Linked DNA regions of Drosophila melanogaster. The protein of the gene in region 2 purifies or fractionates together with the protein of the main gene of each other region. This does not show direct contact. Each region holds a gene or a part of one and is shown on either strand. Other genes may lie near its edges.

Region 1 (4,214 bases), on a different chromosome or scaffold from region 2:
GCTTGCAGTTGATATCCGTCTTAAGGACACGCTTTCCCAATGTGGCAATTGGGTACTCGGGTCATGAGCTGGGAGTGATCATTAGCCAGGCCGCCGTCTTGCTGGGAGCACGCATAGTGGAGCGCCACTTTACGCTGGACAAGAGTCAGAAGGGCTCCGATCATCGCTGCTCCCTAGAGCCGCAAGAATTAAAAGCTCTGACTACAGCCATCACCAACTTCAAACTCTCTTCAGTTCCCATGCCTCCACAAGAAATAGTTAAAAAGTTAAATGGAGATGAGGAACTAGAGGCAGCTCTTCAGCACGTTGAGTCTAAAACCATTTTGCCGTGCGAGCTGCCCTGCCGAAATAAACTGGGCAAATCTATTGTGGCAGCTAGGAATCTCAATAAGGGTTACAGGTTGCAATTGGCAGATATGGCCATTAAAGTCAGTGAACCCAGCGGCCTGACAGCGGAGGATTTCTTGGACTTGGTAGGCAAGGAATTGGCAGACAATATTGGTGAGGATGAACCCATACTTGGGAATAGTATAATCAATTGAATCATGGGTTGGGAATTTAAATACACTTGTAAATGAATAGCTTGGTCTGTATTACTCGGCGCCATCGTCGCTGCCCTCTTCTTCGTTCTCATTCTCGATCATGTCGATGTCCTCCTCGAGGTCGCCCTCCTTCTTGTCCGTTGGCTTCTCGTAGACAGCGGTCAGCGGGGAAATGCACACGCCGTTCCAGACGGACATTTCGCGCACAACGCTGGTGTTGCCCTCCAGTCCCAAAATGTGTTTGTATCCGCCGTGGGCCAGCACGCGCAGTAGTGTCTGCGATGTGTAGCAGCACACATCCTGCTGCTCCAATGTCATGGCAGTGTGCACACGGATGTGTCCCGGCTCGGTGGGATCCGTGATGCCGGCCGAGCCCGGCAGGAAGAGCCCGGCGGAGAGTAGCTGAAAGACGCGACGGAAGGCCAGGTTGATGGGCAGTGCCTGTCGCGACGGGTTGTTCATGATGGCCAAATGGGCGATCAGGTCCAGCATCCAGGCCGACAGCGGCGAAAAAGCGTCGAAACGCCTAGTGAGATCCTTGAGAATGCGAATGAGCACCTTTATCGAGGAGTGGTGGGCATTTTCCTCAAACCAGCGCGTGTGCCGAATGGCAGCCAGATGGCTCTGCATCAGTTTGTGATCCAAATGGATCTCAGGCTCCAGCTTGCGAAGATTCTGCGGCAAGGTGGCGATCAGAATGCGCACCTTGGCATGCACGTTGGCGATGTCGAAGCCCCGCTCATGGATCTGTACGGTGTGCTGATCGCCCTTGGTCAGAACTTCAGTCTTCATGCTGGCCTTCAGGTCGGCCTCCACTTTTTTGGCCAGCGCATCGACGGCCTCCTTGGTGGGCAGGGTTTTGAGGATAACCACCACATCGGCTACATTGTTGCCCGTCAGTATGGTGCCCTTCTTGAAGGAGCCAACCTGACGCACTTCCTCCAGTTGCTGTGGAATAATCAGAACAGTTTAAACATGCAAATCACAAGGAGTTGTGTAATGTACTCACACAAGTTGTCAGATCCCCGGGTGCAACCACCAGATTGTCGAGAACAGCCTGCACCTTGGTCACTAGATTGCCAATAGCCGTCTGCTCGCTGGGAGTGGGACTCAGGTCCTGGTTACGCTTCAGCAGCGCCTGAAATGCAATTGTTTTCCCATTGCAGACACCTTGGATACGCAAGTAATTTATTGATTTACCGCAGTCAAAGCAGAATCGTCAACGGCGCCGGCGGATGGAACTTTGGGAAAGAAGACCTCCGCGAGGGTCAGATCGAAGGGGTGGCGCGGCACGAATGTCTTTTTGAACGGCGGACGTATGCCGCCGCGCATGGGGCGGCCACCTCGGAGAGCTCCGCGAACCATATTCCTGTGGGGATGAATTTTTAATAATTTTCGCAACGCCGGAGCGTTCTGTTTTTTTTAACAGATAGGTAAACAGTGTGACCGAAGCTGGACCGGTAAGGAAACGACATCAAAGATGGGCTAAGCGCGTTTTCAAAGTATACCGCATAAAATATTTTTAGAGGGCAAACATTTTGAACATTTAAACATTTTACTACATTAGAATGCATAAATTGATTGAATTAAAATACGGAGACTGGTGTTTTTAATCTGCATAATTTTGTAGTTGTAGCTAGTGCAACAAGGTTTCTATCAGTTCCAGGAAAACGCTTTGTTTACAAGCAAAGTGCTGATTTTTATGTTGATGGTCTTACCCTTTTGTTGTACAAAATTCCGGTGCTAAAATCGGATTAAAAGCGCATGAAGTTATTCGTAAGTAGTTGAAAATCGCACTAGAGATGAATCCTAATGTTTATAGTTTTCAGAACTATGGATCTGGCGAACGTAGATCAACGCCCCGTGAAGGACGAACCACCTCAAGAAGACACTTTCGAAGAAGAATTAATCTTCATTTCTAACAGCGACTTCGAAGAGCTTGAAAGCGAAATAAAGATTGAGAACTTCTGTAGTTATGGCAAAGATTTGGAGCCAGTTAAAGGCGTCCCGTCGAAGCTGAAGACGTGTAAATCCAAAATAGCAAAGAAGCGCCCCTTGCGAAAGCAAACAGATACGTTTAAGTGTACCCAATGCCAAAAGACGTTTACAAGAAAGGAAAACCTCGAATCACACTTGCGACTTCACGCAGAAGAACGTCCGTTCGAGTGTTCCCACTGCTCCAAGAGCTTTGGACGCAGGACGCATTACAAGCGACACTTGCTCAAACACGAAAAGCGACCTCATAAGTGTTCCCACTGCTCAAAAACCTTTACCCAGAATTCATCGCTTAAACAACATCTGCATGAGCACACAGGAGAGCGCCCCTTTAAGTGTACCCAGTGCTCGACGTCGTTCGCGCGAAAATCTCATCTTCAGGTACACTTACGTACGCATAGTGAAGAACGACCCTTTGAGTGTACCCATTGCGAAAAGGCATTTAAAAACAATTCACATCTCCAGGAACACTTGCGAACGCATCAGGAGGCACGGCCCTTTAAGTGTTCCCACTGCTCAAAGAGTTTTAAGCTAAGATCAATTCTACAAAAGCACTTGCTGACGCACGCCGAACGATCCTTTAAGTGTACCCAGTGCCCGAAGACTTTTCTGCAGAATGATAGTTTGCAAATTCATTTGCGAGTGCACGCGGGCGAAGACCCGTTCAAGTGTCCCCATTGCTCAGAGACCTTTGCAAGGAATTCGAGACTTCAACTACACTTACTTGAGCACGCTGGAAAAGAGCCCCTGAAGTGTTCCCAGTGCTCAGCCACCTTTGCCATGAGGTCACTTTATCGAGTCCACGTGCGTTTGCATACAAGAGAGCGACAGTACAAGTGCGCCGAATGCTCGAAATCTTTCTTCAAGAAGTCACATCTTGTGGAGCATCAGCAAGTGCATACGGGAGAGCGGCCCTTTAAGTGTACCCACTGTTTCAAGGACTTCAAATGTCGTACGCATCTTCGGGTGCATATGCTTGATCATATTGGAGAAAAGGTACCCAAGTGTTCCTACTGCTCGAAGGAGTTTAAACTAAGCTCGCAACTGCTGGTGCACCTGCAAGAGCATACTGGAAAAAACCAATTCGAGTGTCCCCACTGCTCGAAGTCCTATACAACTAGCTCGACTCTTCACATGCATTTGCGAACGCACACGGGAGAATTGCCCTTCAAGTGTTCGCACTGCTCAAAATTGTTTGCGAGAAGCGCAGAACACCAGGAACACTTGCGAACGCATACGGGGGAAAAACCCTACAAGTGTTCACACTGCTCAACCCGATACACACAAAAGTCCAGTCTTGGGCGACACCTGCGGCGAACCCTATGCGGCACTAAATCGGATTAAAACCAATTAGTTTAGAATTAACTTAGAAATAATGTAATAAGAAGTAAAGTAGGCGAAAATAAATAAATGAGTTTAAATATTTTTTTAAGTTTAGAAATCGGTAGTGTGCCCATTTGTTTAGTCCCCCTGATCGACCTGTACCATATTTGGCATTCAGCATTCGGTCACACTGCCGCCCAATTGCTGTGTCATTTTTGTTTCTGTGCGAAATAAGTCGGCTTTTTCATTTTACACATCAAATCACTGCATTTGCGGCCCAGGAAATATGGCTACCGAACGATACAGCTTTTCGTTGACCACGTTCAGGTGAGAGCATCGCTATAGCCGGAGCGG
Region 2 (5,815 bases):
GTGTGGAGCAAGCGCGAGAGCACGCCGGCGGGTTCCTCGTTAATTGAGCTTGTGGAACATGGGATAGCACGCATCAAGTACGCCTCGGAGACCACGGCGGCGCTAATTGCGGAACTGAAACAACTCTCCACCGCTGGACAGTGCAAAGTAATGGTGGCCATTGATGGCTTCAATGCCTTCTTCCATCCGGTTACTCGCATTTTCTCCGACAACAAGCAGCTCGTGACTCCGGATCGGGTCACGCTCACACAGCCCTTCCTCGACATCACCAACTACGACTGGACAAACGGAGTATGCATCCTGTCCGTGGACAAGATCGCAATGACTGAGGGCCACATGGACTCCTATATGCCGCGCTATCTGCTCGGCAAGGAGGGCTTCGAGCATCTAGATCCGTTTGTGCCCATCCATGTGGAAAACTACACGGACAAGGAATTCCACAGCTACATCAGCTACTATCTCGACCGACACTGGATCAACAAGACGCCGCAGGGATTCGAGGAGCAGCTCAAGTTCATGAGCAACAAGAACCCCTACTCGCTGATGCAGCTCGTGAAGGCCTTGTAGAGAGCGAGTGTCCTGTATTTGTTAGCCAATAAAGTTAAATGATTTGTTATTTACCACAACGATGCGGTTTGCTTGCTGTACGCTCACGACTCAATTTGTAATAATGAGTCTGGGAAATTCAAATTGGAAATTTATTTAACGATAATCAGCAATACATAATGATGCACAGTACTTTCGTACGTTTACATATATGTGTATGGGGTTTACATGCAGTGTGTTCAATGTTCAAAATCAATACAAATAGGGCTGTGTTCAAGTTTCGTGTGTCTTGTGGCTGTAGAAGCATCGTCAACAAGGTCTAGATCTAGGCCTAGTCCGTGCGGATCTGCTGGCTGCACTCTCTCTTTATTTAAGACTATATCTTAGGTTCCGTTCCGATGTGGGTGTGAATGAACAAAATAATAACTAGGCTGCAATTAACATTTGTCGTCATATTCGTATGTATATTTGCATAATTTCTATTACAATTTTAGTTGCTTTTAACAACAATAACAATTATGTATGTATGTATGTGTTTGCATATTTTCTCTGATCGTATGTGGTTTGCTATGTCCGTTGCATTTGCATTATCGTAGGCGAAATCGGTCTCCTGCTCCGATCTGTGTTTTAGATTCTCGTTTGCGTTTCTAATGTTCATTTGGTTTAAACTTTACGGCTTTAGGTGAATATGCTGATGTTTTGAATATGCGTACGCGCGTATGATCGTGTGGTGTTGCATATGCACTATGTGTTATAAATCATACCGCTTGTATATACTTGTTATATATATTATTCATGATCGTTTGCAGTTGCTTTTTCTGTCCTGGCGACGTAACAAATAAAAATAAGAAGCCTCCTCTTCTAAACGTAAACATAATACAAAACGCATTACAACAAAAAATGGGATAAACTTAAACGCAGAGTTGGAAAAGCAATAGAGTTAAAGCGACTGCGAGAAGGATACGTATGATAGTAAGCATAAGGAGATATATATATTCATTTATATAAATTACAAAGTGATGAAATCTTCGCACGCGTCAGTGGTAAAATTAAAATGTTAATAATATGCGACAAAACAAAACAAGGACATTTGGCTCGACTGGGACCAACCTTGAATGCGTCCATTCGATTCGGCCCGATCCAACATCGAGGCGTTCTCCACCTCCTCCTCGTTCTTCTTCTTCAATTCTTCTCTTCCAAATGCTCGCAGGGCCCAACACACGGATTCCAAAGTCTTAGATCGCAGACCCTCGTGATCCTTCGAACCCAATCCTCGAGAAGAGGTTGCGTGCGTGTGGGGTGGTGGGTGTTTGTCTGGTCGGTTAGTTTTGGTTTTGGTTGGGTGGCTGAGGTGTTCGTCTGTTCCTCGGAGCATTTGTCTACTTAGGCTAGTTTTCTTAAACATAGATTTACTCATTCGTTTCGTTTTGGTTTCCACCCTGCCGAAATCTTGATGAAATCAATGCATGACAAGTTTCCAATGTTCTCATAGTTACTACATCTACCTTTGGAGCTGTGTGTGGTTGTGGGTGTTTGGATGGGTATGACAGATGGGCGTGAATACTTCCGGATGAGGCATCAATGATGGTGAGGAATAGTTGAACAAACAGCGAACGGCAGCGGGCGGTGCATCCTCCCATCTGTATTATTTCTTGACAAACTGGTAGGGGGCAGCGGGACGGTAACGCATGTTAGGCGGCACAGCGCCACCGATGCCACCGCCAGTGGTGGCCACGATGCTATTGGCCATGATTCCGCCACCGCCGGCATTACCCAGTCCGGCATTTCGGCCATTGAAGCTGGCCGCACTGACGACCATTCCGGGCGGTGAGGCTCGCACAATTGCTTGCGGTGGCAAGGTGGTGTGCATGGCATTGCCCCGTTGGGCGGCTGCAAAAGCGAACATAGAATCTATGGTCTATGGACCAGGAGAGCCCAGACTTACCTGGCACATAGGGTTTTGGCTGGTGGTACGCATTGTTGTGTGAGCGAAAATAGACAGTCTCCTCGTTGTGGCGATAGTGTGATTGTTGCTGAAACTTTTGTCTGTAAGAAACATGGGAGTTTAGCTAGACTCGAGGCTCGTAGAGGACATTGAACTGCAACCCACCTGTAGTTGCCGCCGGAGCGCTGGTTCCCATTGCCATTATTGCTGCCGGATCCAGCTGCGCCGCCATTTCCGTTTCCGCCTCCACCACCGCCTCCTCCTCCTGCACCACTAGCTGCCGCATTCGACTGCTGTTGCAGCTGGCGAAGCGTCAGCTTCTTGGCCGCCTCCGGATCCTCCATGAGTTCGCGGTACTGCTCTTGGCGGATGTCATCGTGCTTGTCCGGCGTGAGGTACCGCCGAATCTCGGCCAGGGCATACGCCACCCGAGCGTACGCCTCGGCGGGCGGAGCAATGGTGGACACCTCGACGTGCAGAGGAAGATTCAGGTGGGCGTACTTCGCGTCCGCGGAGTTGCGCAGCTCCTCCTCACGTGCGCGATCCTTCATTGAGAAGCGACCAAGTATGACGATCTTGCACTGCGTCTCCTCCTGCAGGCGACGCAGTGAGTTGCCCTTGGGCCCCAGTAGCTTGCCCACATAGTTGAACTTCTTGTCCTTGATGGGCACGTGCACTTTTTGGGACAGCTTGATGGTGCGCTGCTGGTAGACATCGGCGTACTGGTCTCTCGTGGGAATGCGTCCGTTTAGCTGCACACGCTCCAGAGCTGCAAAAACAGAGGGAAATCAAAGTAATTACCATGAAGTGCCCCTGACAAATCAATTTACCTTCGTCAATTAGCTTCACCGCCAGGGGGAAGTGGTTTTCCATGCGCGATCGCTCCGTCATGAGCTCCTGCATGTACTTCTGGACCGCCGGCGCCGGCTGGGCCTTCTCGCCGTCTGCGTTGGCGTTGTGTTCGTTCTCATGCTCCCCGTTGCTCGTCCCGCCGCTGACGCCGGTGGGCACCACTCCTGTCCCGGCCCCCGCAGTTCCCGCTGCTGATCCACCGCCGACTCCCGTCGCAGTGGAAGCCACCGCAGAGGCCACCGCGGATGACCCTGGCACGCGCAGTCCGTTCTCCGCCATTTGTCGTCCTGCCTTCGGGATCGCTGTCGCTCTATCGTCCTGCTAAGTCGCCGAGTCTCGGATTTTCCGTGCGCAGATTGCGGGCGATCGCTTTTGCTGTCGATTCGGTATGATTGCTAACTTAGCACACTTCAGCCTTCCCAATGGCCCTAATTTTTCTCTCTTTTTCCAAGTGTGTATTTTATTCGGACATTTACTATGTCAGCGGCTCGGTCCGGCAACTCCGGTCTCTCGGGCTGTCTCTCGTGCTTCTGCAGCGTGCTGTTCGCTGCCAATCGACGGTGCTGTTAAGGGCGCATAGTTGTTATCGGCTTGCAGACACTATCTAACGCTATATATTAACATAGATGCGTCGTCAGGTGCATGGCAATAATTTATAATATGCACTTAGTGATTTTTAAATTACAAATATAATTTAAATGCTCTCTTTGTTATGGGAAAGTTTTTAATAAAATTGATAAGTCATAAACTACTAATGCACATGATGGCGGGTTGTTATCGGCAGTAACCGATAATACGCTATCGAATCGGTGATGCCGATTTACCTATCGATGTCCTACCACATACATATTTTTTCAGCCAACTAATTCTGCAATAGTAGAATTTTGTATTCAAGAGTAGGAGTTTTAAAATTCACGAATCCTCCAGGCCAGAAATCCTACAAAACGCAATGCCGCGCGACTACGACAGAGACTACAACGAGGACGCCGCCGACTACAAGCGGAAGCGACGCGACGAGGAGCCAGCGGCTACCGGTGCTCCAGAGACCCCTGAGGCGGATGGCGGCGGACACACCACCAGCCACGCCGCCCTGCGGGACACGCCCCAGCTGAATGAGAAGACCAACGCGTATCTGCAGGAGTGCCTGCTGGAAAAGAAGACGCTCGAGAAGAAGCACATCATCACCAAGCGCTTACTTGACGACGGTGAGTTAGGCGCTGCGACATGTAAGCTATAGTGGATCTAATTGCAATTTTTCATGGCCCCGCAGAGGTGGAGAAGATCTTGGTCAGCGGACGCATACCAAAGCCCGAGATATATGCCAACGTGTACAGCGAAAAGCCCATCCGCGTGGCCCAGAAAGTCTTGTTCCCCATCAAGGAGTACCCCAAGTTCAATTTCGTTGGCAAGATCCTGGGGCCCAAGGGCAACACACTGCGGCAGCTGCAGGAAGAGACTATGTGCAAAATGGTGGTTATGGGGCGCAACTCGATGCGCGACCACGGTAAGGAGGAGGAGCTTCGCAGCTCCGGAAATCCAAAGTACGCCCATCTCAGCCGCGATTTGCACGTGGAGATATCCACGGTGGCCCCTCCAGCGGAGGCCTATCACAGGATCAGCTATGCGCTAGGCGAGATCCGCAAGTTTATGATACCCGACGCCAACGACGACATTCGGTTGGAGCAACTACGCGAGATGGATGGCAAGGAGCGCATGTACAAGAAGTCTCACCACTATTCCAAATCCTATGGCGATCATGGCGCCTACAGTTCCCGGTAGGCTTGTCAATTTTCGTTGAATTTTAATTGGTTACTAAGGAATTCCTTTCGTCACAGCACCCCGCCCCCTGCTTCTTCAAAGCCCAAAGTCTATTCGATTCTGGAGAAGGCTCGATATGTGATGGACGATCCCAACTATGGGATCGTAAAGACGCACAGGTTAGCTAAGTTCAATCGCGTTAATGATGCCTTTAGAAGTTAAATTCTTATGCTTTCAATAGCGTGCATCTGTGTTATCAACCATTGTTAGAAAACCCTCCTTTAATCCCTTACTTTTTCAACAGATCACGGGACCACGAGCTATATGACCACCATGGAGAATATGATCGCTATGCCACACCGCCGCCCCAAACATCAAAGCACTCGACCCACCACGCCCAGTATGACAGTAGCTCCTACGAGCGCGACTATCGGCGTGAGTATCACCCCCACTCGTCCTCCTCTTCCTACGCGGCGGCCTATCCAGGTAAGATACCTAGATTTCTAGACCAATAATCTCTTCCCCTCAGCAGGCATGTAAAAATAAACAAAATGAAGAAAAGAAAAAGAATACGACAAATAGCAATGTAAACGTTTAAACTTAACTCGCGCAAATCAAAACAAAAAAAAAACTCGAAAACAAAACAAAATCTATCCAACTAAGCGCCGATAAATTGAAAACGCAGAAAAAAACAGAAACCAAAAAAGAAAAAGA

The links.
Region 1: the proteins of qkr58E-2 (region 2) and CG5641 purify together in Drosophila melanogaster (affinity purification with mass spectrometry, with the first as the bait; one large-scale study listed by BioGRID). This does not show direct contact.

Annotation. Positions count from the first base shown.
Region 1 is NT_033777.3:12,427,295-12,431,508, forward strand, and holds CG5641 (uncharacterized protein), read right to left. Parts: upstream 1,989-4,214; 5' UTR 1,908-1,988; coding exon 1,743-1,907; intron 1,681-1,742; coding exon 1,552-1,680; intron 1,491-1,551; coding exon 594-1,490; 3' UTR 543-593; downstream 1-542. Other genes in the region: NANS (N-acetylneuraminic acid synthase), read left to right, coding at 1-542; CG5245 (uncharacterized protein), read left to right, coding at 2,376-3,881; Prosalpha2 (proteasome alpha2 subunit), read left to right, coding at 4,147-4,187. UniProt on the Drosophila melanogaster protein: May regulate transcription of undefined genes.
Region 2 is NT_033778.4:22,413,873-22,419,687, reverse strand, and holds qkr58E-2 (quaking related 58E-2), read right to left. Parts: upstream 3,880-5,815; 5' UTR 3,623-3,879; coding exon 3,322-3,622; exon of another isoform or gene 3,261-3,321; coding exon 2,657-3,260; intron 2,593-2,656; coding exon 2,492-2,592; intron 2,437-2,491; coding exon 2,192-2,436; 3' UTR 2,052-2,191; intron 1,996-2,051; exon of another isoform or gene 1,986-1,995; 3' UTR 687-1,985; downstream 1-686. Other genes in the region: mRpS29 (mitochondrial ribosomal protein S29), read left to right, coding at 1-567; qkr58E-1 (quaking related 58E-1), read left to right, coding at 4,293-4,548, 4,614-5,118, 5,179-5,280, 5,406-5,587.